Oreochromis niloticus: one gene and its partners. The protein of the gene in region 1 interacts with the protein of each later gene in a biochemical or structural test. Links are inferred from orthologs where the notes say so. Each region holds a gene or a part of one and is shown in the gene's direction. Other genes may lie near its edges. The genes, in order: lck, receptor-type tyrosine-protein phosphatase C, ptpn22 and ptpn6.

The links.
Region 2: of the proteins of lck (region 1) and receptor-type tyrosine-protein phosphatase C, one has a biochemical effect on the other in vitro, tested with the Homo sapiens proteins (5 studies listed by BioGRID and IntAct, with this or other methods). The link is inferred for Oreochromis niloticus from reciprocal best matches to the Homo sapiens genes LCK and PTPRC.
Region 3: of the proteins of lck (region 1) and ptpn22, one has a biochemical effect on the other in vitro, tested with the Homo sapiens proteins (3 studies listed by IntAct, with this or other methods). The link is inferred for Oreochromis niloticus from reciprocal best matches to the Homo sapiens genes LCK and PTPN22.
Region 4: of the proteins of lck (region 1) and ptpn6, one has a biochemical effect on the other in vitro, tested with the Homo sapiens proteins (4 studies listed by BioGRID and IntAct, with this or other methods). The link is inferred for Oreochromis niloticus from reciprocal best matches to the Homo sapiens genes LCK and PTPN6.

What each region holds. Positions count from the first base shown.
Region 1 is NC_031983.2:27,529,537-27,536,622, forward strand, and holds the start of lck (tyrosine-protein kinase Lck), read left to right. Parts: upstream 1-4,082; 5' UTR 4,083-4,363; intron 4,364-6,055; 5' UTR 6,056-6,060; coding exon 6,061-6,168; intron 6,169-6,714; coding exon 6,715-6,775; intron 6,776-7,086. UniProt on the Homo sapiens protein: Non-receptor tyrosine-protein kinase that plays an essential role in the selection and maturation of developing T-cells in the thymus and in the function of mature T-cells. Plays a key role in T-cell antigen receptor (TCR)-linked signal transduction pathways.
Region 2 is NC_031981.2:1,863,501-1,871,266, forward strand, and holds the start of receptor-type tyrosine-protein phosphatase C, read left to right. Parts: upstream 1-4,745; 5' UTR 4,746-4,981; coding exon 4,982-5,045; intron 5,046-7,766. UniProt on the Homo sapiens protein: Protein tyrosine-protein phosphatase required for T-cell activation through the antigen receptor. Acts as a positive regulator of T-cell coactivation upon binding to DPP4.
Region 3 is NC_031984.2:8,838,361-8,845,501, reverse strand, and holds the start of ptpn22 (tyrosine-protein phosphatase non-receptor type 22), read left to right. Parts: upstream 1-4,121; 5' UTR 4,122-4,250; intron 4,251-4,596; 5' UTR 4,597-4,686; intron 4,687-5,008; exon of another isoform or gene 5,009-5,027; intron 5,028-5,071; exon of another isoform or gene 5,072-5,534; 5' UTR 5,535-5,551; coding exon 5,552-5,653; intron 5,654-6,874; coding exon 6,875-6,983; intron 6,984-7,141. Other genes in the region: uncharacterized protein LOC102083214, read right to left, coding at 1,132-1,300, 1,431-1,584, 2,476-2,793, 2,921-3,244, 3,987-4,020. UniProt on the Homo sapiens protein: Acts as a negative regulator of T-cell receptor (TCR) signaling by direct dephosphorylation of the Src family kinases LCK and FYN, ITAMs of the TCRz/CD3 complex, as well as ZAP70, VAV, VCP and other key signaling molecules.
Region 4 is NC_031976.2:23,272,469-23,280,182, reverse strand, and holds the start of ptpn6 (tyrosine-protein phosphatase non-receptor type 6), read left to right. Parts: upstream 1-4,697; 5' UTR 4,698-4,712; coding exon 4,713-4,723; intron 4,724-7,714. Other genes in the region: chd4b (chromodomain-helicase-DNA-binding protein 4), read left to right, coding at 1,400-1,602. UniProt on the Homo sapiens protein: Tyrosine phosphatase enzyme that plays important roles in controlling immune signaling pathways and fundamental physiological processes such as hematopoiesis.

The sequences.
Region 1 (7,086 bases):
ATGTGCCTAGAACAGATATAACTTATATATACAGTGCTTAGCAAATGCATTAGAGCATGCATTTGAAAATTACCAAATTAATTTTTATACTTCTGAAATCTGGCAACATGTGCAGGCGCTTTAATCAAATTTATATTTTTTAATGAAAATTAAATAAAAATTATAATTAATGTTATCTGTGAATTTTTTACTGAAAAAATAGTAAAGCACATTATTATTATTACTGTTATTGATTAAAATGCCAAATTACAAATTACAGTCATTTACTTGCATTCCTGAACAGAAGCAACAATTTGCCTGATAAAAAACAAAAGAAAATTATTTTTACTTCAAGTTATTTATTTATTTATTTTTATTTTTTTTTACAGATTTCTAAATCATTTGTTAAGCACTGTATGGCAGAAAATGAGGAAATGTTCACACTACTTTACATCACCTCAGAAGTTTTGCTGCCAACCTAAATAGGTCTTGGAACAAAAATGAGATGTTACAATTTAGAAAATGAAATAAAGACAAAACATATTGAAGCTGTTTTCAAGCTTGAATCCATGCAGAAGAAAACGATAAAAACCAAAATGACATATTTCCCCTGTGGCCTGCAGTGCTACTCATGCTACTCATCTCTCTGGACTGGTTTGGGTTGGCTCTGAGTTTCTCACTTTGCCTGGCTTCTCTTGAATATAATGGAATCTAATAGCTCTCCCTAAAATACATTTAAATACCTCAGCAGCAACGTCTCTTCTCTGAAATCATGACTCAAGTTTTATTTTTAATCTACCCTGATCTGCCATGTGAGGACTGCAGTTAAGTAAGGTTAAAGCCTCTTTACTTCTTACATGCCATCATGCTTTTACAAGCATCACGATTAGATACCATTTCTGCACAGCCGTGCACTAACTGCTGATGTTCACATCTGCAGATTTTTATTTATTTATTTTTTAAGTAACTGGGTCACGACTTCTGAAAAGAGTCAAATGTATTTCCATCAAATATATTTTTTGGCCCTTTGAATGTCAAGTAAGATTTAAGCAAAGCCATTAACGACCCCTTCAAAAGGTCATGAGCCAAAAAGTTTGGGAAACACAGGTTTACTGATACTGAAGCATGAAGGCAGCTGCTCCTGTCTGGTCTGGGCCGATAAAGAAATTCTCAGCAACACGTTGAAGTAAACAAAGTCCTTTAATGCAGACACTTACAGCAGCCACAGGCAGGTCACACTCCAGCATTTTTACACCTCTTCTTCACAAACCAAAAATATCTCTGCAACCTAGCCGCTGCAGTGACACAAACCAGGAGCTCGTGTCCGATGCTCTTTGTTTTCCATTAGCACGTCAGGATGCTGCAGAGCCCTGATTTTAGACTATATGTGGCTGGCAAGTGACCAAGTGTATTTTATGTTTTAAATGATTTGCTCTTTAGTTTAGTTTAAAAAAAAGAATGAATGAATTTAACTTTGCTTGCATTAAAAGTGTAAAACATCTATTAAATGTATTATTCTATGCAGATTGTTAAATCAAGTTGTAATGTGAATGTAATGACTTAACTGAATGAATATATAAGAAAAACGCCTTAAAGTGTAAATTTCAAAATCTTTTTCTTTCACACAAAGGACATATTAAAGAGTTTTTTGTCATATTTGAGTCAGTTATAATTACTTTATGATGGGAGACAGCGTTACACCTGCCTGTTCAGAATGGGTGGCAGCTTTCTCAAAAAAACACTCATCTGAGCAACATAAGTGTCTCAGGAAACCACACACAGCGAATAGAGTGAAATAAAAACATTCCCAGCCACCTTTTTCAGAAACAGGTTGAGGTTTCAAGCGTTTAGAGTCATGACATTTTGTAAAAGCTTAAAAGTTTTGGTGAGATATCCCTTTTCTTTTTGCTTTTTTACTGCCTTTCAGAGACCTGTTTGTAAGTAGTTTTGGTTGAAGTTAGAATTAGGGTTAGGCTCAGTTTAAGATCAGGGTTAAACTTATGCTCTGAACTTAGGCTCTGAAATTGAGCTATAAACACAGCAAGGACAGCCAAACAAACAAGCTCTGCTCATCCAAACAACGGCCAGTTCGACCCTGCACTTACTCGGGTGCCCAGAGGTACTCCTGCCATGTTTAAAGGAGCTCGAATGAATGGTTGTTGTGAGATGGGAGGAGCAGACATGAGTATGGATGAACAGAGATATAAATGCTGATGACGGCATGATTTCTGTCGGTGTAAGTGAGGGAAAACATCCCCACATCCATCTCCATCATCCACCCTCGGTCCTAAAGCCACCCAGGCACAACGGTATCTTCTTTCCTCCCAAGAGACAGCCATGACCTGCTGTAACACTCAGACGTATGAAAGGGGCCCTGGAGGGATGTGCAGAAGCAGACATAGTCAAGCTCGACACTAAATATGCCTTGGCAGAGCGCAGACGCCGTGTTAAATGAGAGCGCAACTAGGACTGTTGAAATGATCACAAGTGGCATACTTTAGGAGTTGTGTGATCTCATGTGGGTCGCGGGACCTCAATAGTTAGACACATGGAAATGAGTATCATATGGAAGACACAGAGGATTAAGTACTACTGCTTGAGGCCGCATTCTCGAGTGAATGCTTTCATAATAAAGGGCTGCAGACTTGTGTTTCTCAGGCTGCTCATTCTTTGCCCTGTGGAGATACTTTCCCGTGACCCTTTTTTGCCCGTATCTTTCTGCCTGCCATCAAACCAGCAGAAGAAGATATTACAGTGTAAATAAAGAATAATAATCCATCTGTTTATCGTGAAGCCAAGTAAGCTTACATGATGCACATGAGTAAGCACCAGAGGCAAAAAAAAAAAGCAAAAAAAAGAACCCTCATTTACATTCATGAAAGAGGCCAGCACCTGCATCATGCAGCAGGAGGTAGGAGGCCTGGAAAACTTTCTGCACACTGATAGCATCACAGTTTGATTGCGTAACAGAATGTGATTTCCAACCACATTTGGAAGTAGTGACAACTGTGGTCGAGAGGAAGAAAGGAATACCTTTAAAGCTCCAGGCCTGCACAAAGCTGATCGCCAAACATGGCGGGACACTTTTTCTCCCAGCACGTATCAAAGAAGAGTTCTTGGATGATCAGACTTTATCTTCAGTCACATGCACCTACCTATTTACATCACTCTCAAAATAAAAAAAGAGAAAAGTGAAGCACATTTCACACATCCTCCTAGATTTATACTCTGCACTTTAACGGAAAAAAGAGTGAACTCAGGTGGTTTCATCATGAGTGAGACTTAATCTATGCTGTGGCAGTCTTCTAAGCACATATTTCTGTGCACTTCCTGTAATGTTTGGACTGACTTCCTGCCAGTGCATGCTATGTAGCAGCAGCCGTTCACCACAAGAGAAGAGATGCGGTCCACGGCTAGAGTTGTATGAAATGTCGAAAATGCGACAGCACAGGCTTAGAGGGTGTTAACAGCCAGAGAGGCTTTTTACTTTGTGCCTTCTCTCGAGTAGAAATGTGACCATGATACAGTCTCTGCAAAATAAGAGCTAAAATTATGATTCTATGTTACACAATGTTCTATATAAAGGAGGTGTGGAGCTTGTGACAGGCTTTTTCTCTTTATATTTTCACAGTTTTTAATAGTAAGCTGAGTAAACTAAGACCAAAGGTTAATTTTAAAGCCATTTTTGGCCACAGACAAGAATATCCTCAAACCACATGTCTGACTAAAAAAGAAAACTTTGTAGTGTTGTTGACTTAACACCTGAGGCATAAAACCACGACACAGGAAATGCAACTGTCCCGAGTGCTGCAAGATATTCAAATATCTTTTGAACTGCTCTGGACCAACACCTCAGCTGCACACTGAAGATGTTCTTTACTTTAAAGGTCAGCAACTCACACGTTAAATGCAGACAGCGAGCGACACAAAAGTGCGGCCTACAAAAGCCCCCCGTCTCTAAACTGTTTTGGAAAATTCATGTCTTGTTCCCCTCTTTGGGAAAGGTGCTGTCCTGACCCCTTTACCGTACAGCCCATAACGTTCCCCCTTGCTCTCGCACAGCTGCACAGTAAGCACCTGTTAAAAGCCTGCAGAGCAACCCTCAACCTTTCAACGACAGGAAACTCTCTGGGTTGCTCCCCTCCACAGTGCGCATGTGTGCATGCAGGCACCGCATAAGCGCTCCTGTGATAGTGTTATAATAAGAGAAGCGGATGATGACATCTTCACACCTAAGCTCAAGTGCTGAAAAACTTGCTTGCTGCACTTAAAGAACTCTTTTAAAAAAAGAAGATTTAAATAAGAGTTTCTCAATGGCGGCACCTGAAATCTGACATTATTGGACATTACTGGACGCTTGAGGAGAAGTTTCATATCCAAAGAGGTGAGTTTCACACGTGTGATTCTTCTTACTTTAAGATTATGTCAAAGAAGTAAAGTAAAACTGTGATAAAGATGTAACAGGAAAGGATTTAAATGTCTTTCTTGTCTTAAAGCAAATATTCTACATAAATCTGGGGCTCGTTTTCAAATTTGGACTTTTGTATGAAGTTTACTGAATTTGAAAAATAACAAATGGCAGCAACGCAAAACACTTACATAAATAAACGAATAATGTTCAGCCTGCTGAAATTCATCTTTCACAACAGTAACAAAGCGCATTCAGTTACTGGTTATCTCCTCTGTTGATATAAATCTGCATTACAAGGAAGATGTGACCACAAAAGAGCAAACCGTTTTCTTGTATGAAATAGGAACGCTTCTGTAAATCGACTTTATTAATCTGTCCTTAAATAACATTTTCAAAAAAAAAAGTTGGGGCATTAATGTATTTTGATACAAAGTTGACACTTCCTATACAGGTTTGTCTGTATATGGAAACAATGTCGACAATGACAACTGTTAAAATGGTAAATAAATATAATAGTCTGCTGTTAAAATGGTGTCCCAGCAATTTACATAAAAACTTAAATCAATCGAATATCTGTTCCACTTTATTAAAATCTATTATTTTTTTAAAAAGTGTTTTTTTTTTGTGGTTTGTTTCTTCAAGATTCTGAACTGACGAGTGACTGAAGTCAAAAGTCTTAAAATCTTGGTCGTCACATCATTTCTGGTACACTTAATATGTGAAGTAGCCTTGACTACATTGGAAACAATAACAACAGCCATCAGTATGAGTTTGGAAAAGCCTTCAGATGTCGATGATAAAAAGCAGAGGGTAACCCCTCAGTGGAAAATGCTGACTTGTATTACTCCCCGAGTGTGTGTCAGTAAGTGTAGGAGTGCTGATGATAAAATAAAAACATCTTTATGATCCCTCTGTGATTCCTTTCTTGGGGTCTCGGGGCAGTAGTGGGCTGTTACTGCCGGGTGAGGCCTCTCCAGATTTTTCTCACGGCTTTGAGCCTTTGGGACAGACGGCTGCTGCGATTGGCCCACTGACCTTCTTCCATGAATGGTCTGGTGGGAGCCAAGCGAGCCTGAGAAAGCCGGTTCATACACAGTACCAGTCTAAAACACAACACAGAGCACGAGCAGACGCTGGATTATACCAGATTAACACTGGTACAGTTCTGCAGGGCCTGCTTTACTTTCTCCAGAATGAGAGCAGGTAACGGCCCGATGTGACTGAACATTGAACAGTGCTGAACATTATAGCAAAACTGTGTCAGTTCTGGATGTGATTTTGTTAAACTGACGTAGGGTAGCATTTTAAAAAAAAGTCCCTTCAGGTCTCAGACTCTTATTTCTGAGCCCGATTTACCTCTGAGGCTCCATTTTGAGGCGAGGCCCTCGGTCACATCCGACTGAAGCAGTTTTCGGAAGTAAAAGCTTTTTAGAGCACACAATTTCAAATTTAGCCAAAAAAGATTTACTAATACTGTTTTTCTTTAGATTTTCCAAGAGAATTCAACTTACATAATTTTAAATACTGATTACAATATGTGGTTGTAAAGCGATGTAGGACTCATTCGTTGGTGAATCTTAGATGCCATTTCTTCCACTGCAAAGTTGTTGTTCACATTTTATGACCATCGCATTTTGAAAATAACCACAAGTTTCCGCCGTGCAGAAAAGATGGGCTGCAACTGCAGTTCGGACTATTCAGACAGTGACTGGATCGAGAACTTGGATGAAATCTGCGAACACTGCAACTGTCCCATACCGCCACAATCATGCAACCCAGTAAGTGTTCATTTTGTGTGTAGTATGTGCACATTAGTGTGAGTGTGTTGGTGCACATGAATGAGCGTCCATACATGAAAAGCTTCTGGTTTGTGGTGAGTGTGAATGACCACTTGGGGGACAAACACATAAGCTGTAAACCCACAGTGGATTTTGTGTTGTGTGGATTGTTGTTGATTATGGTCATACGTTTCTGTATAACTTACATAACTGTGAGGGAAGTTTCCTTTTGGTTGTGTAATTAAATGCGGGCGTAACTATCCGTCCAATGTTGTTTGTTTCCTCTCTGAGAATTAGATTTCCCATTAGACTGGAAATGACAGAAATAAAGGAGAAAACCACATGTGTGTGTGGTGTAACTCAGACATTTCACCTGGAAGTTACAAAAAAAAATCAAACCGCTTATGATTTACCGTCACGATCCACGTATAAAACCATAGAACTTCACGGTTTTACAGTGAATGTGACGTGCGATGGTGTCTTGTTTGACCGCACAAATCTTACAAAGTATAAAATGGAAATCTAATCTTGTTTATTTCTTCCCAGTACACAGATCAGCTGATTCCATATCCATCGCAGATGACACCTCCTACATCACCTTTACCAGGTAACAGGTTTTAGAACAAGTACATTTTTCTGCGTCTGTGTGTCTATAAACGTATCCTGATGGAGTTAAATCCATTTTTAATTATTTCGCTTAGTTACACACGACAGCCTCAGTTTAGCACTTCAGACATTTTCCTGGGGGCTAACAGACGCACTGCACGAGTAGAATTTGAAAATAATTGTATACATAATTATGTAATATAATTACAGTTTTTTTATTGTGTTAGTGTCAGTACATCTGGACTTTTCCCTCATGCCATCCCAATATAAATCTTTCCATTTCATTGTTTATGAACACAAAGTTTTCCATTC
Region 2 (7,766 bases), on another chromosome or scaffold:
TTTCTGCAAAGCTCTTACAGCACTTTAAACGTTGTTACATCAGGCATATTTATCTACTTTGGTCAGTGTGCTCCTTGCACACATCTGCGATCAGTACAACTGAAGGTGCGAATGCAAGACCAGCTGACCTGAGAGATCATGATCAAGCTGGAAATTCATGGTTTATTACCAAGAAGTACCCTTTGAGGTAATAATAGAAGATGTGGATGCATTAAAGAAAATCCCTACTGGTACATCACCGAGACTAATCAGCTGATCTACACCATGGCAGCAATAATCACTGAGATGCTTGGCTACAAGGTCAACAGCCACAAGGAGCAATACCCTCCATGGAGAAGGAGAGGCCAAGATCAAGGCAGTGTGGAGGGAAGTTAGCAACTACAGGAGCTGTAGATAGGTGGAATGAAGAAAGGGAAAGAACAATACTCAGAGACTTGTGGCTCTAACAGCAGACCACAGGAATCTCCAGTAACCATCACAGTGGCAGACATCCAAGAAAGGGTCTCCAGTATGAAGAGTTGGACAGCACCAGGCCCTGACATGGTTCACGCCTACTGGCTGAAGAAGCTGACTGCACTCCACAAGAGTCTGCCAGCACAAATGAACCAGCTGCTAAATGATGAGAGACACCCAAAATGTCTAACTGAAGTCCTGATCTCCAAGGATCCCCAGAAGGGACCAGTCTCATCCAACTACAGGCCAATAACCTGCCTCAGTACCACATGGAAGCGCCTGTCAGGCATCATACGGGCTAAGATGAAGGGGCACATGGCTCAATATATGAACAGGGCACAGAAAGGGATGGGCAGGAACACCAGTGGATTGCCTGGAATGACTATAAGAAAGCCTGTGACTCGATGCCCCACACATGGATCCTGGAATGCCTAGAACTGTACAAGATCAACAAGACCCTAAGGGCCTTCATCAGAAATTCAGAGGGGATGTGGTGAACAAAACTGTAGGCCAACTGCAAGCCAATAGCACAAGTCACCATCAAGTATGGGATTTACCAAGGAGATGCTCTGCAACCAGTCCTGAGGGGGTCAGCTAACTGGCAAGAACAAGATTTGGGCAATCAGCACCTACGCCCTGCCGGTGATCAGATACCCTGCTGGGATAATAAGCTGGGTGAAGGAGGAGATAGAAGCCACTGACATCAAGACCAGGAAGCTCCTGACCATGCATGGAGGGTTTCACCACAAATCAAGCACACTGAGACTGCACACTTGGCGGAAGGTAGGAGGCTGGGGACTAGTGAGAGGCACTAATCTTGGCAGCACAGGAACAAGCTCTGAGTGCAAGATTCATAGAGGCTGGGGTCTATCACACCAGGCGAGACCAGCCAGGCTGTGTAAAGATGCCCCTCAGGCAATCTTACACATTACAGCAGGGTGCAAGATGCTTGCAGGCAACATCTGTGCCAAGTATGGCCTGGAAGTCCTGAGGTCAAAATAGGACACGCCCCCTACAGTGGTTGAGAATGACCGAACTAAGATCCTGTGATAAATGAGCAAAAGCAACATCAGATGAAAGGAAAAAGAGAAGCTTGAAGTACAAAGGGCTGAGAGAGGAGTTCAAGAAGACGTCGCCAATGAAGGCTGAGCGAGTAGCTTTAGCAGATCCCAGAAACAAAACCAAAGATCTCTGTCCAAAAGATCGCGTCCAAGGAACAGCAAAGATACTGCGCAGGACCTTCAAGCGCCAGGTGTCCGGTAGAGGACCTGAGCTTGGAGGATAAGACCACCCCATAGGGCACGTTGGGAAATTTTATATGTGTGTGTGGTCAAAAAATAAAAGGAGCACTTTGAAAACACATCAGATTTCAATGGGAAATAAACATCCTGTTGGATATATATGCTGATGTGGATCTGTGTGGAACCATTTGATGTAACGACATCCTGAAAATGTAAAATGAAAAAAGAAAAAAGTCAGTTTTGCTGAAAATGTCATTAAAGCAACTCAAAATGGTACCGAGTACATGGGTTTTTAATGCTGTGTGTGCTGTGTTACGAGTGACCATTAGTGACTTTGGTTTTGCTTAGTTTTTTTTTAACTGCCAGAGTTTGCTACTTGGTGTCAGACAGCTCTCACACCAAACCTAAATGTGAGTGCATGAATGCACTTTCACCTGTTAGAGCTGACGGGACAAAGAACTGAGAGTTGAAATAAAGTTACAGGAACATATTTTAAGAATTTACAATGAAGTCCTGTGATTTTGTTCATTTCTCCGCAGGCCCTGTTTTCTTTCTCTGGTAAAGACAAAAAACAAAACAAGTTTGAGTTTTGCAAATTAATTAAGCCTTTCCTTCATTTCTGATGACGAGTTAATGGTTTTATGGTTTTCACAGTGCAGTGTGAAGCTAGTGGGGTTTTTTAATTTAAAATATTTTAACTTGCAGAAAAACATCTTTGTCTTTATTTGCATTGCCTGGTGCAAGTTCATGTTAGTGTGGCTCCTTTCACCAGTACTGAGCTTGACAAACTCGTGTCTCTGGACTTCAGCTGCAGCTGCTCCCTCGTTACACTCTGCTGCTGTGATGACCCTCTGACATACTAATGTCTGAACTTGTCCATCCTTTTCACTCACAATGAAAATATTAATATCTTCAGCGTTGCCCCCCTCCTCCTCCTCCTCCTCCTCTTCTCTCCAGTGCATACCTCCAACCTTCCAGGCTCTTTTCCACCTGCCTCAGTGGCAGCTGTTGCTGACTTGTTAACCCTGATTAAAACATATGTTTGTTATGTAACATTTATGTCACATTAAAAATGCTTTGGGCCTTCCTGTTGTGGACACTGAAGGTCAGGAGGCTGTAATTCTTTGGACTGTTCAGCTGTTCTATTATTAAAACCACTGTAGTAAGAAAACCATGTTACATGTAACCATGTCACTAGTTGGTCAATAGATGGTAAAGGTAGCCAATCGACTTCTTCTTTTTCTTTTCATAATGATAACAATCTAACTTTGATACAATATTCAATAAACCCAAGTTTTCAGTGGTTCCTCAGGAGGAACTGTTCACTTTTTAAACGACAAAACTTTGTAGTTTCTTACAAAAATTAATACACTGCACATACTTTAAAGATCATATTTAAAATATATCTTGTGATAAAATAATTGAATCCGATTTTACGATCATTTCGTTCTGAAAGGCTCGAGTGCTGACAGCATTTTACAGCATTTAAATGTGATTAAACATGAGGCGATTTTCTTTCTTCTTATTTTTCTGTCTGGCGGGGGAGGGGGGAGCGTACAGGCGAACACGAGCAGCATTCAGAGGTTTCATCGTGCTACATTATGTTCTTCATTTCTAAATACAGTGTGTATCTAATGAATGACATGCGGTTACACTGGTTAAATATCTGTGTAGCTACTAACAGCAACACTGCGCTCCTCGTACAGTCTTGCAGTAACACATTTTATTTGTACCAACAGCTTCATTTTGATTACATGAACATTGGGCTGTTTGCTTAAGAGTCACTTCCTGATTACAAGAATCTGCACTGTGAGAAGTGGAAATAGCCAAATGCATGTGTTTCATTTGTCTAGGAGGAAATCCATATTTAGATTTTCTACAAAAAGCTGATGTCTTTGTCGGAAACAATGTTTCTGCTGGGTTTGTACATTCAAACTAATTTCCACAGAATGTTTCAGAGTGAAAGAAAGAAGAAACTTTCTCTTCTTCAAAATGAATGAAAACATCAAGGAGGTCATGTGACTATGACTACTGCTCTTTTTTAAATAGACTATATATAACTGTGTGATTCATATCAGCTTGTCACGCCATGCAAAGTGTGCTGTGTAAGTTTAAGTTTAAGTAAAAGCTTATATCAGCTCAGTACGACCGTCCCAGCTCACAGAAGGCTCTGCTTAGTTCCCTGTATTATTTCATATAAGAGCATGAAAAGCTGACTGTGTTTCATCCATTTTTACATCAGCTCACCCCCCCAGTGTGTGAGTCTCACCCCCCCCAGTGTGTGAGTCTCACTCCCCGGAGAGTTTTTGACTCCTCTCCTTCCTCTTTTATCCCCTATTTTCTTCTGTATGTAAACAGAAATAAAGCATTTTTGGGCTCCGAGGCAAAGCGTGGTGATCAAACACCACGATCAATGACTTTGAAGAGATCTAACGCCTCTTATAAATGTCGTTCACGTGAGATGAACTGAAGCAATGAAGAAATTCATTTCTGGAGCCAATGGCCGCGTGTTTTCTCTCTTTAGAAGGAGAGAAGAAGAAAAAAGAGAACAGAGTATAACAAAGGAAAGACTGCCTCTGGTTTCTTGCACGTTGCAGTGTTAACTTCTTGTTAGCTTTGACTGCACGGACGAGCAGTCGTGGGCCTGCAGGGGAGGAGTCAGTGAAAAAGACGAGATGCTCTAAGAAGTTTCACAACTCTGTGTCTCGCGTCTCACAAGCAAAATTGTTGAAGTTTAACATGAACAAAACAGAAATTACTCAGGCCTAAAACTTTAACCTGGAGGCTTCACGGTGCTCTCATCAGTCTCATCTTCCATTTGTGTGCTTCATGTTATTTGAGCTAAACCCTAATATGTCAGACGCAACCCTTAAACTGAAATCTTGACCGTATTGGTAGCCATCAGCCTCCTTTTTCAAAGGTCAGAGCGATTTCACCCTTGAGCAAATTCAAGTGAACATTAGACGAGCGACGGCTTCCTGTTCTTAGTGGCGTAGTTGAAATGATGCTTCCTGTCAGCAGACGTTAAGGTAAAGGCAGTCTCTTAAGTGTGACATCACCGCCACTCGCTTGACTCGAAACCAAAGGCGAGGTTTAGAGTTTGGGGAACAAGTCCAGGAAGCTGTGTCAACCGATAAGACAGAGAACTTATGTAGCTTTAACAAAGACAGCTTTTTCTATGTTAGCTTTGAATTGAGGTAAGAGTTGGAAATACGTTTTGGCGTGCGACGATCTGCCGGCTGGTTTCACTGCACGGTGTGTGGCTGTACACACCCTGACTCCTGGACATGGCAGGTCTTTGGGGTCTGAAGGTCCTGCTGTTCTGGGCCGGGATCATCGGTTTGACCTACTGTAAGTAACCATCTGCAGTGTTCTCGGTGCTGCTTTCTTTAAGGATTGTACAAAGACTTTGAAATGTCTCTTTGTATCTGTAAACTGAGGAGAAATAACAAAAAAAACGTCTGCAAATGCAAATCATGTAGGTGATGAAGTCTCCCCCCCTAAACTCGCTGTGTTTGAAGTCGGATGTTGAGCTTGTGATCGTGTATGAGGATTATTATCCATTTGTGAGATGGAGACATGAATCTGTCAGCTGAAAAGCTTTTTTAGTTTTTGAAAACTGTAAAACATCATCAAGCAAAATGTGACATTTTAAATAAAAAACGGAGGGCAGAGGCTACGCTGTAGCACGCTTTGGAGATGCATCCGCGTTTGTGCTGCTTCACGTTTCTTAAACTTTCCAACCCCAAGAACAGCAGACAGGAACTGCACACACTTGTGATGTGAAAGCTTAAAAAATGACAGGTTTCTGAGCCGTTTGGCAGAAGAATGAACTCTTATGTTCAATCAAAGGCGGCTGTTAATAAGAAGAATGTGCTCTTTAAAACATTTTCCTTTATTTGGTTCTTTGGGAATTTTTGCAATCGTGTTTCTGTTCTGCTTTGATACCGTGCACGTATGAATGTGTGATTGTATACTGTATATGTGTAACTGTGGGTTAGTGGGGGGAGGTGGGGGGCTGTGTCTGTCTGAAAGGAGAGAAATTTTCTGGGGTGTGTCCCTGCAAGCTGCTTCTTAACCTCGGTGGCTGTGGGTGCTGTATGTGATAAACATTTCAGTGTGTGTGTGCGTGCACATTTGCGTGCATGTGTGTGCACGCTAAGTTACACTGACCTCACTGCCTCCAGCATCACTCATTATTCTGCTATAACTCTGCTGTTTTCAGCCAGTCTGTGCTGATGAGCTGAAATAAAATCTGTCATTTATTTCCCTCCATCGTCTTTGCCCTCAGTCTGAGTCAGTGTTCCTCATTTGTTTCTAACATACAGAATTTCTCAGCCAGTGTGAAGGTGTGTCATCATCGCTCCCCAAAACATGATTGTTGTTTTCCTTTCAGTCATATTGACATGGATTTTAACTGATCAGCCGTTATTTAAAAAAATAAATACATAAAAATATCCAAAAATAAAATTTCTAAATTTTCTGTTTAGTGATGTATCTCATATTAATTACTGTACTTTATGCCCATCATCCAGTAAATCTCACGTTGAAATATTATTATTCTAATTCCACTGAAAACTCACAGTTATTATTAAACAAACATTGTTTTACAATTTAACTGAATTTTACATGAAACTGTATCCAACACTAAACACGTAACACTGTGTTTAAATATTTACTTTCATAAATACTGATATACTTTTATTTACTTACATGATTAGAATAGATTAGAAAACAATAATTACGTTTAAAGAATCTGAATTCACTTTAATAACATTTGATTTTATCCTTTATTATTTATCTTTGGTAAGTTATACATATAACCAATATGTAATAGTTACAGACAAAATGTTAGGAACACCAATGAGTAACATCCACGTTTTTTAATCAGTAAAGTTAAATTTGATTGTGCCATTGTTAATCTGTCTAATGTCTCTCTAAGATGAAAGTCAAATGTGGAAAAGATGTGGATTAAAATAAAAACATGCTCTCAGTGTATGATTGTATTTTAATATTGATCACATTTAAAAATAGTTTAAAACTTAGTTCAATTTGCTCATCTTTTTCTATATTTTTCTGCTTTTTTTCACTACTTTTAAAGAATTACTACATGTGTGTGTCAGCTCACTAGTAAATGCCAAAGTTCACGTGTCTTTTGCTTAAACTGGGCGAGAGAAGCTGGGCCCTGTTTAACAGGCCGCCTGCATTAGCAGCAGCAAGACGGCGTTGTGTGATCAAAACGTTTGACCACTTCCGTGTTTCATTCTGAGTCGTCTTCATTTCCTGGCAGCGCAGCGCGGGCCGAGCAGACCGAGGCACCGCGCAGCAAATGACTTGAGAAAAAAAAGGGGAAGCACAGGGTCTAAAATGAAGAAGTGAGGTCAGAAATGTTAAGCATGATTTTAAAGTTTCTGGGAGGAGGAGAGTGTCACACAGCAGGACTCTGTGGTGAATGCAAAACATGAGAAGGAGGAAAAAACAGAGAAAATCAATGAATTAGAGAAAGAACTGGTTACTGTGTCAGTGTCTTTACTGCATTCAGGGATAATCACATTATTGTATTTATGATTGTCATAATACTATGATACTGTCGTGCAAATCACAAACCTACTTTCCTGAAAACAATTAAAACCAGTTTAAATAACGACTTTAAATAGTGAAAAACAGGTTTTCTTTATTTTTACGTTCCTGGGCTTCAAACACATCATACTGACATAGTTATGATATAAATAAAGATTCAGTAAACCTTCACTAAACCTGTTGCAGTCATCTCCAAACTAATAATCGATGAGCTGCATTTGTGCGAGGCGCTGAAATGTCGCTGCAAACATGTTGCATCTCTGCACGATTCAGTGAAACAACAACGCGCCAAACCACATCCTGAGTCTCATTGTTTGACTGTCCCCAATCACCCAATCATTCAATTCTCATTTCTATTGTTATAAAGAACAAATCGACAACATCAATAAACCCATTCAAAGTAAACTAACTCCTGTACTTGTGGATATGTTTCAAATTTATTTTTTTATTTTTTAATTCTTTGTAATATCGAAAATACTGATTTTGGAAGTG
Region 3 (7,141 bases), on another chromosome or scaffold:
ACCCAGTAAACTAAATATTTGGACAACTGTATGCTACAGTTCATATACATCACTAATTCAAGGATAATATTGCTTAATTCTACCTTATAGTTTAGTCTGTTTCTAGTGTTGAGCCAGCAGTACTAGAATTTTAATCAACCTGATATGACATATTTTAATGCCCTACAACGCCCAAGTACTGACACATTGTTGTGATACTGATTTCACAATAAGTGGGTGAGGTATTTGCATTTCTTCATAACCTGTAACAGCAATAAATCCTTTATCATATAAAACTTCCAGAGTCCAGAATTTAAGTATAATTAATGTCACTAATGCAAAAACAGCAAAAGTACATGGTAGTCAACGACTGCAAATTTATTTATTTATTTTTATAACCATCAGTCTAATTCATGTGGAAATTCAGGGACCTGAAACACACCTTTTTTTAATCATCTTGGGGTACATTCTTAGTCATCATTAATATTAAAACAATCCTCTTGAATGGCTCTCTTATGACGCTCCATATATCTGTATAGACCTAACATAGGTCTGAGTCAGGAACGCCGCCAAGGAGATATGTCTACTTAGAGGTAAAGAAAAGTTAAATACCTGGTACTCTTCATCAGTTTATAGAAGTGAAGAGGGCCTTAGATAGAAGGTAAAACATCTGAAGTTTGTTTACATTTATTTACACTACCTAAGACAATACCATAAGTCACAAATTAATATTTTCACTACTTAAGAAAATCATAGACCTTTTATTTTCATTGATAGTGATAATCATCATTAGCTGCCTTCTAAAAAGCTTTGTTGGTTTTAATGTCAATATTTTGTATAACTAATGTATACAAAATTGTGTAACTACTATATGAAAAGTTGTACCTGATAAAGCAATCAGCAATCTTAATAAAAACAGTTATTTCAATGGTCTCGTAGACTCTTTTAAACTCTAGTATTTCAAATAAATAACAGACCATTTTGGTAAGCATTGCGTGAGTCATTCTGATAAACAGTCTGATATGTTATGCCCTACCCTCTTCACAAACACTCCCATGTGATCAAAGAACTTTGGTCAAGTATTAAGCCACAAAGCCGCTATCTCAAACGCATTATTCTAACTTCCACAGAACTACCACAGTAAACTTCAGGTCACTGACACGCATGGTAAATTCGCCTGCAATGAATATTTGTCTTCTGGTTGGCATATTTTTTGTATCTTCTTCTTGTGCATTTAACAGTTGTGCAAATGATTATCAGCAAGGCCAGAAAAGAACTCCAACGCAGCAATGTGCACCAAAGTGGCAGTCCTGCCAATGATCTAGAAAAGAAAAGGGGAGGGGGGCAGGTGTTTTGAGACAGCATCTTATGGCGAAATTTCAACAAATTTAAATTCTCTTTTCAGCCTTTAGTGATTCTTCCATAGAGAAAAAAGTAGGATAATGACTAACCTGATGAAAAAAAATCCTTGAGTGGTTTCATTCAGTTGTAAAGACTGATTTCCTGTGTTATCACTGTTGTTCATAATAACTAGGCAGGAGGTCAGAGTTGGTGTTGTGACTGTGGTTGTGCTCATTCTGTCTGCACAGTCATAAATTGGTTGACCTGGTAATGAAAAAAAAATTACAATGATAGTGCTTTATGGACCTTGAGGATGAAGCTTTTACAGCATTGTAAAAACAAGAGAGAAGAAAACAGACGTTGTTGTTTAGAGTATTTCATGGTAACTTTAAACTCTTTCTTTTATGTTTATTGTGTTTTTATGCTTTGAATATAATACTAATAACCTGATTTTTGTTAATAAAAAAATAGAATAACCCTAAGGAAAATTTGTACATAAAGGGTTTGTACATACTGTCATATCTGTTATAACCTCTAGGAGTCACTGAAGTCAAAACTTACACACGATGCCTTTAATCCTTTCTTCCAAGCTATAGTTTACTATACTACACACACACACAGGCATGCACGCATGCATGCACACGTTGCATAAAAACAATTATTAAATGTTATTTTAATTTTATCATAAATGTATGGCTTTACAGTGTCACAAACACGCAAATAGTCTATTTTTGCCACTAATATATGAGGGTATGATTATTGTAATCTTTTCGTCTTTCATATAACAATTTTAAGAACTAGGCTATTAAACTTAAACTAAATAGTTTTAAATAAATAATTAATGTCTTAATGTGAAAAAATCTCATTCTAAATTAAAAAACACACAAACTAAAAAATGATCACAAAGGGAACAGAACCACATCAGTGCTAAAACATTACACCAGAACACTTGCCATGTTTTAAAATGAAATAAAATAATTTATTTGTTGCTTTAGTCATTGCATATTGTCACTAAATATAAATGGTTGCTATATAAATGCTGCATGTTTTACCTTTTTTGCAACTGTTCTAAAAGCATTTTGTTAATCAGTAAATCACTGTAAAGACAGTTCTCACATTTATATTTGCACAATGGAATATCACATTTGTTCTTACCCTGAATATTAACAACATAAATACAGCTGCTGTCTGCAGGCATCAGAACCTGCACAGAGATGAGCTCACTCTTCTCACTGCTTATGTCATTACTGCCAATACAGAAATAACTACAGTCCTTTTGAACAGTGCCACAGTGAAGGTACAAGTCTGAAGCTTTATGAAGCAGGAAGTCCTTGCTGTCAATGTGCTGATACCAGGCATAACGAACACCAGTGCCCTTTGCACAATCACAGCGTAAGGTAACTGACTTCCCCCAACATGTTGGCCTGTCCACCAGAGAGCTCAGGGGCCAAAGTCGGGGCTTGGACACTGGAACTGGCACAAAAAAAGCAATGTCAGTCCAGTCAGCTTAATACCAAACAAAGGCTGCGATGCTGCATATTTCACGGTTATTGTAAAATAATGTTTATTTTCTAAGTTGCATAGGGTCTTTTATTCTTACCTTCAGTGATAATCACTTTGACTTGGATCATAATGTCAGCATATATCTTATCAATCCCAACCCAGTACGCTCCAGCATCATCAAATCGGAGATTTGTGACTTTCACAAACAGCCCCCTTCTGTTTAAATCTATCACTTGGGACCTGTGTGTGTTTCGACTGTTTTCTGAGTCTGCCACAATCTCACAATTGCCTCTGGAGGGCCCTCTGCACCAATACTTTTTGCTGTACAGAAAATTATTTATGCTATACTTGCATTTAAGGATAAATTCACCTCCAACATGGGCTGTGATCTCTCTTTTATCACATTCAAGTTGAAGACTTGCTGAAATACAAGGCAGACAGAAAGAAAATGCTTGTAGTCTGGAAAATCATAAAAATGTTATTATTATTATTCAAATTTTGATTGTCAGATATCAAAAATGCTAGAATAATTGTCATTCAAAGCCCGAAAAAAAAACCTACAAGCAAAAAAAAACACCTCATAAGTACGTGAGAGCTGGGGGTAGGTGTCAAACATCCTGTGCGCATTTACAACACTTCTGTTTCATTTAACAGTAAGTAAAAAGCACAAAAAAACCAAAAAAAACCCCCATATATTTCATACAACCTTTCAAGAAAAGGTGTTTCCCAAAAAATAGTTTACATGTTAATTAAATTTAAGGTTTAAAGAAAAAAAAACATGTTAATTTAAACATGTTTTCTTCTTAAATAAATATTTCAATAAGGAGTAAATTAAAGCATTTTTTATAGGCTTGTATGTTTTAATTATAATTTCAAATCTTAAACAATTCTAGGATATGAAAGTGAAACAGTATTTTTTTCACATACCAATGTTCTAACTTTTAATAGTAAGTTTACTGTGACTGAAAAATATTAATAAGAAATCAGAGTTTTTATTTATGATGCTAGAATAAGCAGTGATTTTACAGTTTAAAGTCACAGAGAAGAAGTGGAAAAAAAATATTTACAAAAATAGAGCTTGTAGAGAGAGAAAATAAACAATGATGATTAAGGTGCTGAAAGATTTTAACTTTGATAGAAGGTTTAAATTATAGCTCACTAACCTTGAAAAAGCAAAACCAGGTACAATATCTTCATACTGGTGTCAGGTTTGTTGCTTGGAATCAACTATAATCGACAATCAGGAAACTGTAGAGGTGGACTGTGGTGATCTTAGCTTCCTGTAGGTGCATTGTGGGTTACATAAATGCCTTTGCGTCTATGCTAGGCCTTGAACACGAGTGTAACATGCAGCACCACTAACTAGTGGCAGTGAAGTGAAAGAGTGGGAACCCTCCCCACATAAGAGCTGTACTTCACTTTATCTGGTAAGAAATTCCCATTTGTTTAATCTAGTTAGTCATAGTTTATCCGACACTGATTTTGGTTATTACGGGCACCATGATATACATTTGCACAGCAGATGCTTAATTCTTTATGACTGGAAAAAACATGGCAAAAATCTTCGTTTAACCTTATGTTATTCGCTAGTCTGTCTTGGATGCTTTGATATTATCCAGTGATATTTTTCCGACTTTTACTGTAAACCGGTGACTAATGTAACATTTAGTTGAGCGTCAGAATGTCTCCGTTAGTTTACTACAAAGCCACTAGATGTCACTATTCTACTGATGTGGCGCTCAGCACCTGCTTAATGTTGCAATGTCCTGTCAGAACTTCTCAATGATGCCACCACCCCTGACAAAAACATTAATTGAAGGTTGACTGACAAAAGAGGCTACATCCACGCCCGTGAGCACTTTGGTAAGTAATGTATTTTTTCATCTGCATTTTTTAAGCCACACTCTTTTCAACGCTGAGCTTTTATGTATATTTAAGAAAGGGAAGTCTTTTACGGGTGAGTTATTGCCCGTGGTTCCTGAAAACATAGCTCCTCCCACTACTCTTTTTGTGCACACATTGTGAATTTAAAAGTATTGTTGCTTAACTACTAAACAAATTGCATGAATTTATACTAGCTGAGATTCACAAGATTTTTTTTATCATCCTGTCTCACTTCAATTACAAAAATGTCTACTGTACAGTAAAGTAGGTACATGAAGACTTCCCAAAGCTCTGAGTGGATTACTGCTGAGCAACTAAGGGTGATTATCTCTGACACTTGCGCTCCCTCTTTCTTCTGCCTTAGGCTCTATCCCTACATGCGTTTCTCCTCCACTTGGCTTGTGTATTTAAAATATTGTACAACTGGCTAGACTGTCTGCACTACACTCTAATTTTGATTAAGATGACCTGTTTTGACTGTTTATGTGCATAAATATATGTTTGTTTTCCCCTGCCATCCCATTTGCAACATATTTATGCAATAGAACACCCGGGTGACTTTAGGACCCTGTGAGAGAAACCCACAGGGGGCGCGGCAATATTTTTAATCTGACCACAGAACCTGTTAGCTTCCTCTTACATTCTGTAAGACAGTTCAGAAGTTCCCTTACACCAGTTCCTTCATGTGAGAGCTACAATACAGAAGTGCTCTGTAGCGGAGCAACGCAACTGCCTCAGTCCTGTCCCCAAGCTTAGCAAGCCTATCCATGACCTGTGGACAAGGACCTTTGTGCCATGACATGTCTATGAGAACTGCCCTATCTCAGACAGTGAACATCCAGCCATGGACCAGCAGGTCAGGATTCTGAGAAGCTTCCTGGATGACCTGGAAAGACAGGAGGCTGCGGCTGAGGAGGCATCTAACGGCATTGCTGGGGAGTTTGTGGTGAGTTAACCGTAATGTTCCTCTTGTTGAAGTACAGCTAAAAATTCTCAACCCAGAAGACATATTGTATTTCTCGATGGTTTTTACAGTCACACGCTAAAAAAAAGTTGTATTTTTATATTGACAGTAAGCACGTCGAAACTGAAAGTTCTTAGTCTTCCCGATTTTTAGGTTTTTTACAAAAGACATCACACTGAGGGAAGTACCACACTGGTATTTTTCGGAGGGTTCCAACGCCATTTTTATTCTTCCTCTTTGTATTGATGCTTGTCACTAAAGGCACAACAAGGAAGAAGTGTAAGCAAAAGTCCTGTAACACTTAACGATTGACGACTAGCAGCAACAACAACCACGCACGCACGCACACACACACACACACACACACACAGACAAACACACTCACACAAACATACTAACTTGTGCCTGAGAAGTGTTAACCCCAGGGTGACATCATCTGTGGGCTGCTGCCATGGTGATGAGTGACATGGCGGTGCCTGAAGACAGCACTGTGTGCTTCACATGCTGCCCCTCTGCTGTCATATTGCTGCCACCCCAACCACTCCAGAGGAAAGAGTCCATTGCATCACTTCCTCTGAGGACAAAAAGCACTTTGTAGTGTTAGAGAAGTGCAGATGTATTTCAAGTCCTTTAGCAGACTCTTTTAGATCTGCCTCAAACGGCCTCAGAACAAAAAGACCAATGTCTCAACAAGTCCTGCAAGCACAAACGTGAGTTTAACTTGAGAGTCCGAGCTTCCGCTTAGGTGATTTAGAATCGAGGTCCTCTCAGTTTGTCAGCCATCATGTCAGTTTGAAGTCAAATGAGTCACAGATTCTTCGTCTGAGGCTGAATCACATAAAAACTGACCACATGTGACAATGTGCAATTGGTCACATATAATTTGCTGGTTATATGCCCCACTTTTTACTCACTGTCTTGTATCAGTTGCTTATGACCTTAAGACATCTGCAATATGAAAGAGCTTTTCCAGTAAATGCGCAGAAAACACTACCATGAAACTCATATTACCCATCTGCTGTTTTGGCTAATTAAATAGAATTTAGATGCATTTACATGATACTTGTATCTCAATATAAGCTTGGAGGATGTTTCAGTATGACACATTAGCAAAACATGACAAAAATAGCTTTCTGGCATTTAGATGGCTTCTAGGAACTATGATGAATGCAGTGCATTTAAATTTCTTTTTGTGTTTTTCAGAGGTTGAAAAGTCAGTCAACAAAGTACCGAACGGACAAGACGTATCCTAGCAAAACAGCAGAAAAGCAGGAAAACATCAAGAAGAACCGATACAAGGACATTCTGCCCTGTAAGCTTGTCTAAATGTATAAAAATGCAACAGTTTTACAGTTTACTGCATTAACACTGTAAAGGAATACTTCTAGATTAGTTTTAAAGTATATTATTACCTATAGTGTTGTGCTAATGACCAAAAAACAATATAAACAGTATATAATGCTCCATTTA
Region 4 (7,714 bases), on another chromosome or scaffold:
GTAATTGCAGCTGCCTAGACATCAATGAACTCACAGTAATTATCCTCCTTCTAATGAAAAGTGTCTCAGTTATAGCAGCAGCAGTCATAGTTGCTCAGTTTTCTCCCACTGTGCCGGCGTTGGGCCAGGGGCTGTTTAACACTAAGACTACTTTTATTAAATGGCATGAAACAATAATGCGACATATTTTATATTTATTTAAAAAAGACATCGTGGAGCTGATGAAGCATGTGAGTCTGGTGAAAACAGTAATGTTTAAAGGTCATTTGAATAGTGAATGAATGATGAAGAAATGTATTTATTTCACAATCCAGTGGTGATGAAATGGTGAAAGTAATGTGTTTTTTTTCTTGTGTTTTGCTTTTGGTGCTCTGGTTTTTGAAATGCTTTCTCTGTATTTTTCAATTCTCTATGTTATTTTGAAAAACTGCACTACAACGATTAGAATAATTGCTTTTTCATGTCTGGGTCATGGTTTTTTGAGTTGTTTGACAGTAGACAACTTCAGCTACACACGCTGTTTAAAAACAAACAGAGGGAGCGTTGGAAATTTTTTAAGGCAGACATATTGGACATTCTTCAGTGCTTTAAAAGTTCCGCTTCAATTGCTTCAATTACCAGAGTACGTTTTCTGACTGAGAAAAGGGCTGTGTAGGTAATGCATTTCAATCTGTAGTAAATATTTGTCCAAAAACTCCATTATATTCCATCATATTTTAACTCATCACCAGTATTGTTTTACTTTACATAAACAGACATTTCCGCCATAAACAAAAATTAGCATCAAGTGCAAAAAACCCCTGCATCCACACTGTACAATTACATTGTTGTCTAGAGGTAAACTGTCTCAAATTCAGGAAAAAGAGCCTTATAAACTCACAAATATGGATTCAGTGCATCTTTAATGGGCCTGGAACGAGATGAGACACTTTTGCCTCCAAGCTTGATTTCACACAGAGCTCAATCTGGGAAATGTGTAAGGTTTATATTTGTCGTTATTTTATGAGTGTTGGTGAAATGTTACAAATGGTACTGAAGGAGAGATACTGTGTAACTCTTGTGCTCCATATTTAATTCAGTTCAATTCCATTTTATTTACACAGCGCCAATTCACAACAGCAGTCGCCTCAAGGCGCTTTATATTGTAAGATAGACCCTACGATAATACATACGGAGAAAAACCCAACAATCGTACGACCCCCTATGAGCCAGCACTTTGGCGAGAGTGGGAAGGAAAAACTTCCTTTTAACAGGAAGATTCCTGTTAAAGTTTTACAAACCCATCCTTACTGTTTTCTGTCCCCTGCTGCTTTTTGGCATGCCACGCTGTTAATTTTAACCAAAAACCAAAATTTGACTGCTCACCCCTGTTATGCCGATTTCTGTGCTGCATTTCTAGTTCTCAAACAGCTCGAGGAACTGCTGAGCGACATGAAGGCCGACGTCACCCGTCTCCCAGCTACCATCGCCAGGATACCCCCCGTGGCCGTGCGGCTACAAATGTCCGAGAGGAATATTCTCAGCCGATTGGCCAGCCGGGGCCCCGAGGTCACCGCTCAGAACCAATCACAGACCGCACAGCAGATGCAGGTGCCGCGCTGACCAATCCCCTCGCACATTTCACACTCCCCAAACGAGGCCAGTCGCACTCACCTCACCGCCATGTAGCAGAATTCCTCCCCCTCAGCCACCATGTACAGCACAGTCAGGTTAGTACTTCTTCCTCTGCACCCACAACCCATCTCCGGACTCAGAAGAGCATCAGCTGTGCTGCTGGACTTTATTTTGAAAAGACTGGGACTGTAGATGTAGGGTGGGAGCGAATGTAAGAATCGGTTCTCTTTCTTTGCGGCAGACTAGATACAGACGTCTTTCTCCTCCACTGGGAATCAGATTGAACCCCTCTGTCCTGAACACTGAACTGACCTGTCCTTCCAGCAGGATCTAACATGTGTGTGTAACTATATGTATAATGAAGCAGAAGAGGCTTAGACCGGAGGGAAAGCAGCATGTTTGGAGTATACTGGTGCTTTGTGGTAACTTTTGGATTATTCCAGACTTCAAGGGATTTTATTGTGCTTGTTTTCACCTTTAGGAAATTGTGAAATTTTTGTTTGTATGTTTTTTTAGAAGTCATTTAACTCTAATGTCCTCATCTGTATGTGTGTATGGAGAGTGAAGGTGTGTGTGTTTTCTTGTATGTATGTGTGTGTTAAACAGGGCATAGTGACATGCATCTCTACTGCAGAATGCCCCGACACTGAGAAGGTGTTACTGTCACTTTTGTATCAGTCAGTCAGTCAGATCTGTTACCTCTTCTTCCGTCCTTCTCAAACTCTTGCCTGATCCGACGGGTGACCCAGTCGGGGATCAACTCTTTGTGCTCACAAACCCAAACAGCACCTTGACATTCCTAACTGCACCACAGATTTGCTTCATGGGAAGTCTCCTGTAATACAAACTCGCAATAGCTCCCCAGCTTTTTAGGTACATGGGATGGCGTTGAGGTTGATGGCAATCTTAAGTTAATTTAATTTCTTACTGTCTATTGTTATGTTGTTTTGCATTATTGAATATTATTATTATGGTTACCACCCTGTTGTTTTTATCATTGCTGTTTGTTTTTATGGACTACAATAAAAAAAACTCAACAGTTTCTTATTGTTACCACGTTTTATTTTTAAACTGATTATATACGTTTGGTTCTCCTTTTTTTCTTGAGCACTGCATTCTTCTACTTCTGTTTCTAGCCATGTGAGCGTTGATACTAAAGGGATGGCAAGTTCTGTGAAGAGTGACAACGCCAAACTCTGCGTGGTTTACTGTTAAAATTTATTTAGACACTAGACACGTTATTCATAGGTTCATTTTTAGTAAAACCAGAGTTGTAGACATGCTACTCGAATCTCAATTTAAACAATCAGTTTAACAAATTTACCCAACAAAGTGGCCACTGACACTATATATATATATATATATATATATACACAGAAAACTCAATTTTCTCTGGTTTTGCTTTTTTGCGTCTCCTTGCAACGACAGTTAGCATGAGGTGATTGTACCTGCAGTTATTTTAGGTTCATCGGTAATCCAGCTTCTCAAGGATGGCACATTTTTGACACATTGTTGCCTCTCCACCTCTGTATCGTGTTCACATTGGTTACGCTTCCTAACAGGACAGATTGATTTCCCTGAAGTTTAACTGACGCCGTGTCGTACTGGGATGATCGAGTGCTTCCTTAATTTTTTGAGCAGTGCCTCAGAAGACGCATCTGCATGGATGATGAATGCCCGGCTGTCATAGAAAATGTAAACATACATATTTCAATTAAACCGTCAGCTAGACACAAACAAAGGTCTTTAACTCACAGCAAAGTATAAAACGATTGATTTACTTAAACCTCGGTGAAATAAATAAAGTAACATTTCATTTATTTCCCGTTTAAAGAGACACAGGTAACACTGAAAATGACCTTAAATTACTTTCTTCAGCCATGTGTTCTTTCTGGGGGGGAAGGGGGCGTGTCCCTGTCCTGTTTGCCAACATGCACGCGCAAGTTGCGTGTACGCGAATGAGACTGCGAGATACCCTCCTGGCTTTTTCCTCTAAGGTCACCATGAGGTTTGTGTCTTTAGTAAAACTAGTTATGAGACAGAAATAAATGAAGTTAAAAAAAAACCAAAAAACACTCCTGAACTGAAACCTGGGGGGAAATGAAAGATGGTGGAAGAGGTGTGACTTCCAGGAGATTTTTTAAACCTTATTTTGAGTTAATATCAGCAAAAAAAGAAAATGATTCAGATAAGTTATATCTTATTTATCAAGTGACCCTTTATATACAGTTTTAGCTTCAAGTTATCATTGAAATACAATCAAAATGTTAGAGAAACTAAAAACAAATGGTCAGTTTCTTCTAGAGGGAATTTTATGCTAAAATTACACGATAATCCATATCGTCAAATGTGCAGAGGCCTTACTACACATCCACTCTTGTTTCTAAGTTAGGTTTCAAGGTGTTCAGGGACCATTTTAAAGGAAGTTGGCCATACATGTTCAGCCGCGCTGTCACGAAGTGGCTCAGATGGTCATAGATTATTATTTTCCTTTTTATTTTTTTATAAAGGGGCGTTAAAAAACTTGCATTAAGGAAGGTTTTTTCTTTAATTTGTAACGTTTGCATGCACAAAAAAAGTGCACGTTCAGAACAGTCTGATACTGTTCTCGCACACAAAACATGCCATAATTTGCATGCAAACCTGGAAAGACAAAGTGGAATTTACATGGAAGCAAATGCAGCGAGGTGGAAAAACCTGAGAGAATTTGTGTATGGAAGAGTTTGTTAGAGGAAGAGCAGAGAAGAAGCGGGGCAGGAACAGGCACATTTTCTTCCACAGATAGAATCCTAATTAAGAAAATTGGAGTAAATTACAGGGCGGGAGGGTTACTGGGCCGGTAATGAAGCCTGATATCTTATCATGAAAGAGAGTGAGCCAGAGAGGAAGGCTAAACTTGAGCGAGACTGGGTGTAAGGAAAAAGGGGATTTAACCTGCGCTCAAAATTCATGAGCTGAATGTTAAAGTAACCTGATTCCCTCTGTGAGTTTTACTCTGATCCGTGGCGGAGGAATATTCATCATCGGGATTTAACCAACCATCACTTCCTCGTACAGACTAAACTAGCCGTAGTGCAAGGGGGGGTGGAGTCCACATAATGTCTTGTGGGTAAGTTTCTTGTGCATATGTGACAAATATTTAATTTTCTTTTCCCGCTGCTGCTTTTAGGTGTTTGCAAAACCTTTTTTTGTAATTGAGCTTCTGTTCTACCTGTTTCTACTGTTGCTACTTTACTTTTTATGCTTTGTCTGTTCTTTTCTGTCTCTTTGAAGACTTTGGAGGATATGCTTAACCCTCAAACCACCAAGCAGTGTTAAATGCTAAAATTACTAACTTTTTTAAAACAATATTTTATACAAGAATGCTTTTTTAAATGGCTTTATTTGTGCTTATTATACCTATACGGCTTCCCTAATCCATGACAGATATTCTGTCCTAATGTAATTAATTATAGTTTTCCATCATTTTTATGAGTATTTGCATAAACAGTAGTTAGTATTCTGCTAGTTCACAGCAGAATAGTAAAATGTGATGATTATAAGTGGAAAATTACAGTAAAGTCAGAGATTACAATGTTTAAAAAATTGCCACACTAATGGATAGATAGAATAGCTCTTTACTGTCATTGTACATGTACAACGGGTGCTCCACACCAACTGTGCAGGAGCAAAAAACAAATATAAATAGTAAAAAAATCAGGAATAAACGGCAAACAGAAGAGATATATACAGCCTAAAGGAATATATACAAAACAAGAGAAAGGCACACAATAGAAAGCAAAGTGCTTGGAAGCAGTGCAAAGGGACATGGTCCTATTAAAAATACAAAAAGCTGTCGGAGAAGTCGACAAATTCATGACAGGTGGCATATTCATGATTAAAAATATCCCAGTGGCACTTTTAAATATACGACTGGAATCATTTGATGGAGTAGATTCTGTCATTTATGACTCCAGTTGTTACAGTGTGGGTGGAAAAGTCTTTTCTGAACATCGTGGTTTGTAGTGCCGTTTTCATATATATGCTATAAACACTTATTTAACCAGTAAGCTTTGGAAACAAAACAAAAAAAGCGAAACAGAGATATGACAGCAGGAAATTATGAGCAGGGAGAACAAAAAAAACACAGTCCGAATCCGAAAAAACAGGTAATAAAGCTCCAAGATCCCCAAGGGGAGTGAAAGTCTGTAGTTTAAGGACAGTTTGGATTTCCTTCAGTCTTTGTGGTGCATTGTAGCTGAAAGCAGATCTGCAAATATCTCGAGTATTCACTGCGTCTTGAATTGTAGTTGCAAGATTTAAATATTGTGCGGTGGCTTTATAACTGAACTCAGGCTTCTGGACTTCACTTTTGCTTGGCTGAAGAAAAGGAGGTCATAATTCAGTGTAGTTCTGAAAGCAGATCTAATGTATTCAAACATTTGCTCACTTTAGTCCCTTACCTGTCACTCATACTTGCATTACTTCTGTATAGAGTTTGCATTTTCCCCCTTAGTCATGCAGGTTTTCTCTACTTTGCATTGAAAAACTCCCTGGGTGCCTTAACCTGCCTGTATGAGTGCATGACACTCTTACAAAAGAGATTCTTTATTTCAAGAGTGTCACTTCCTGGTTAGATAAAGGGTAATAATATGGAAAATAAGCATTGGGTCATTAATCTTGGAAAACATCCAAACATGTCCAAATGGGATTTGCCTTTTGTTTTTAAAGTATTTTTTTTTTTTTTTAGGAAATCAGGTAACAGACATATGGAAATTAGAGTCTACACATTCACTCACCAGATACTTTATTAGCTAAACCTGTCTAATTAATTCTTAATGCAGCAGCTCAGTGCATTAGCTTATATGTAGATGTGGTCAAGATGACCTGCTAAAGTTCAAACTGAGCATCAGAACAAGGAAGACAGGTGATTTAAATGACTTTGAACATGGTTTGGTTGTTGGTATCAGGAAGGCTCATCTGAGTATTTCAGAAACTATTGGATCTATTGTGATTTTCCCACACAACCATCTCTGTGGTGCCTTGTTAATGTCAGAGCTTAGAAGAGAATGGACAGACTGTTTTGAGCTCATAGAAAAGCAACAGTAGGTCAAATAACCACTCATTACAGCCACAGAACAGCATCTCTGAATGCACAACATGCTGAACCTTGAAGCAGATAGGCTACAGCAGCAGCAGAAGGCCACACCCAGTTGTCACTCCTGTCAGCTAAGAACAGGAAACTGAGGCTATGATTTACATGGGCTCACAAAAACCAGACAATGAAATATTAGAAAAACGTCGCCTCATCTGATGAGTCTCTATTCCTGCTGCAAAATTCAGATGATATCGTCAGAATTTGGTGTAAACAGCCCGAGAGCATGGATCCATCGTGCTTTGTATCAACATTTAAAGTGGCTGTTGTGGTGTAATGATGCAGGGATTAATTCTTGGCACACTTTGGACCCTTAATACCAACTGAGCATGAACACCATAGCTTACCTGAGTGTTGTTGCTGACCTTTATGACCAGTGTGCCCGTCTTCTGATGTCGGCTTCCAGCAGGATAATGTGCCATGTCACAAAGCTCACAACTGGTTTCTTGAGCATGACAATGAGTTTTCTGTACTCAAATGGCCTCCACAGTCACCATCTCTCAATCCAATAGAGCACCTTTGGGATGTGTTGGAATGAGAGGTTCACATCATGGATGAGCAGCTGACAAAGCTGCAGCAACTGTGTGATGCTGTCAGATCAATATGGACCAAAATCTCTGAGGAATGTTTCCAGAACCTTGTTGAATCTATGCCACTAAGAATTAAAGCAGCGCTAAAGGCAAAAGCTCAAAGCAATATTTGGTAGGAAATGCAGCCTAAATGCTGCCCGACTGTTCCCCAATCAAAGCGGTGGCATTTAGTTTGAAACATACAAAAAGAGAGAGGAACAACTCTTCACTTTTAGAAACAAAGAAGTTGTGATTGTGAGGCTAAAAGAACAATTTCTGTCACCAATCACTAATATTATCTTAGCTCTTCAGGCCTTTAATGAGCAGAGCAGAAGTGCGTGTACTGTAAATTCCTCTAAACAGAAACAGTTTGATGCATTGCAACATACTGATGCAT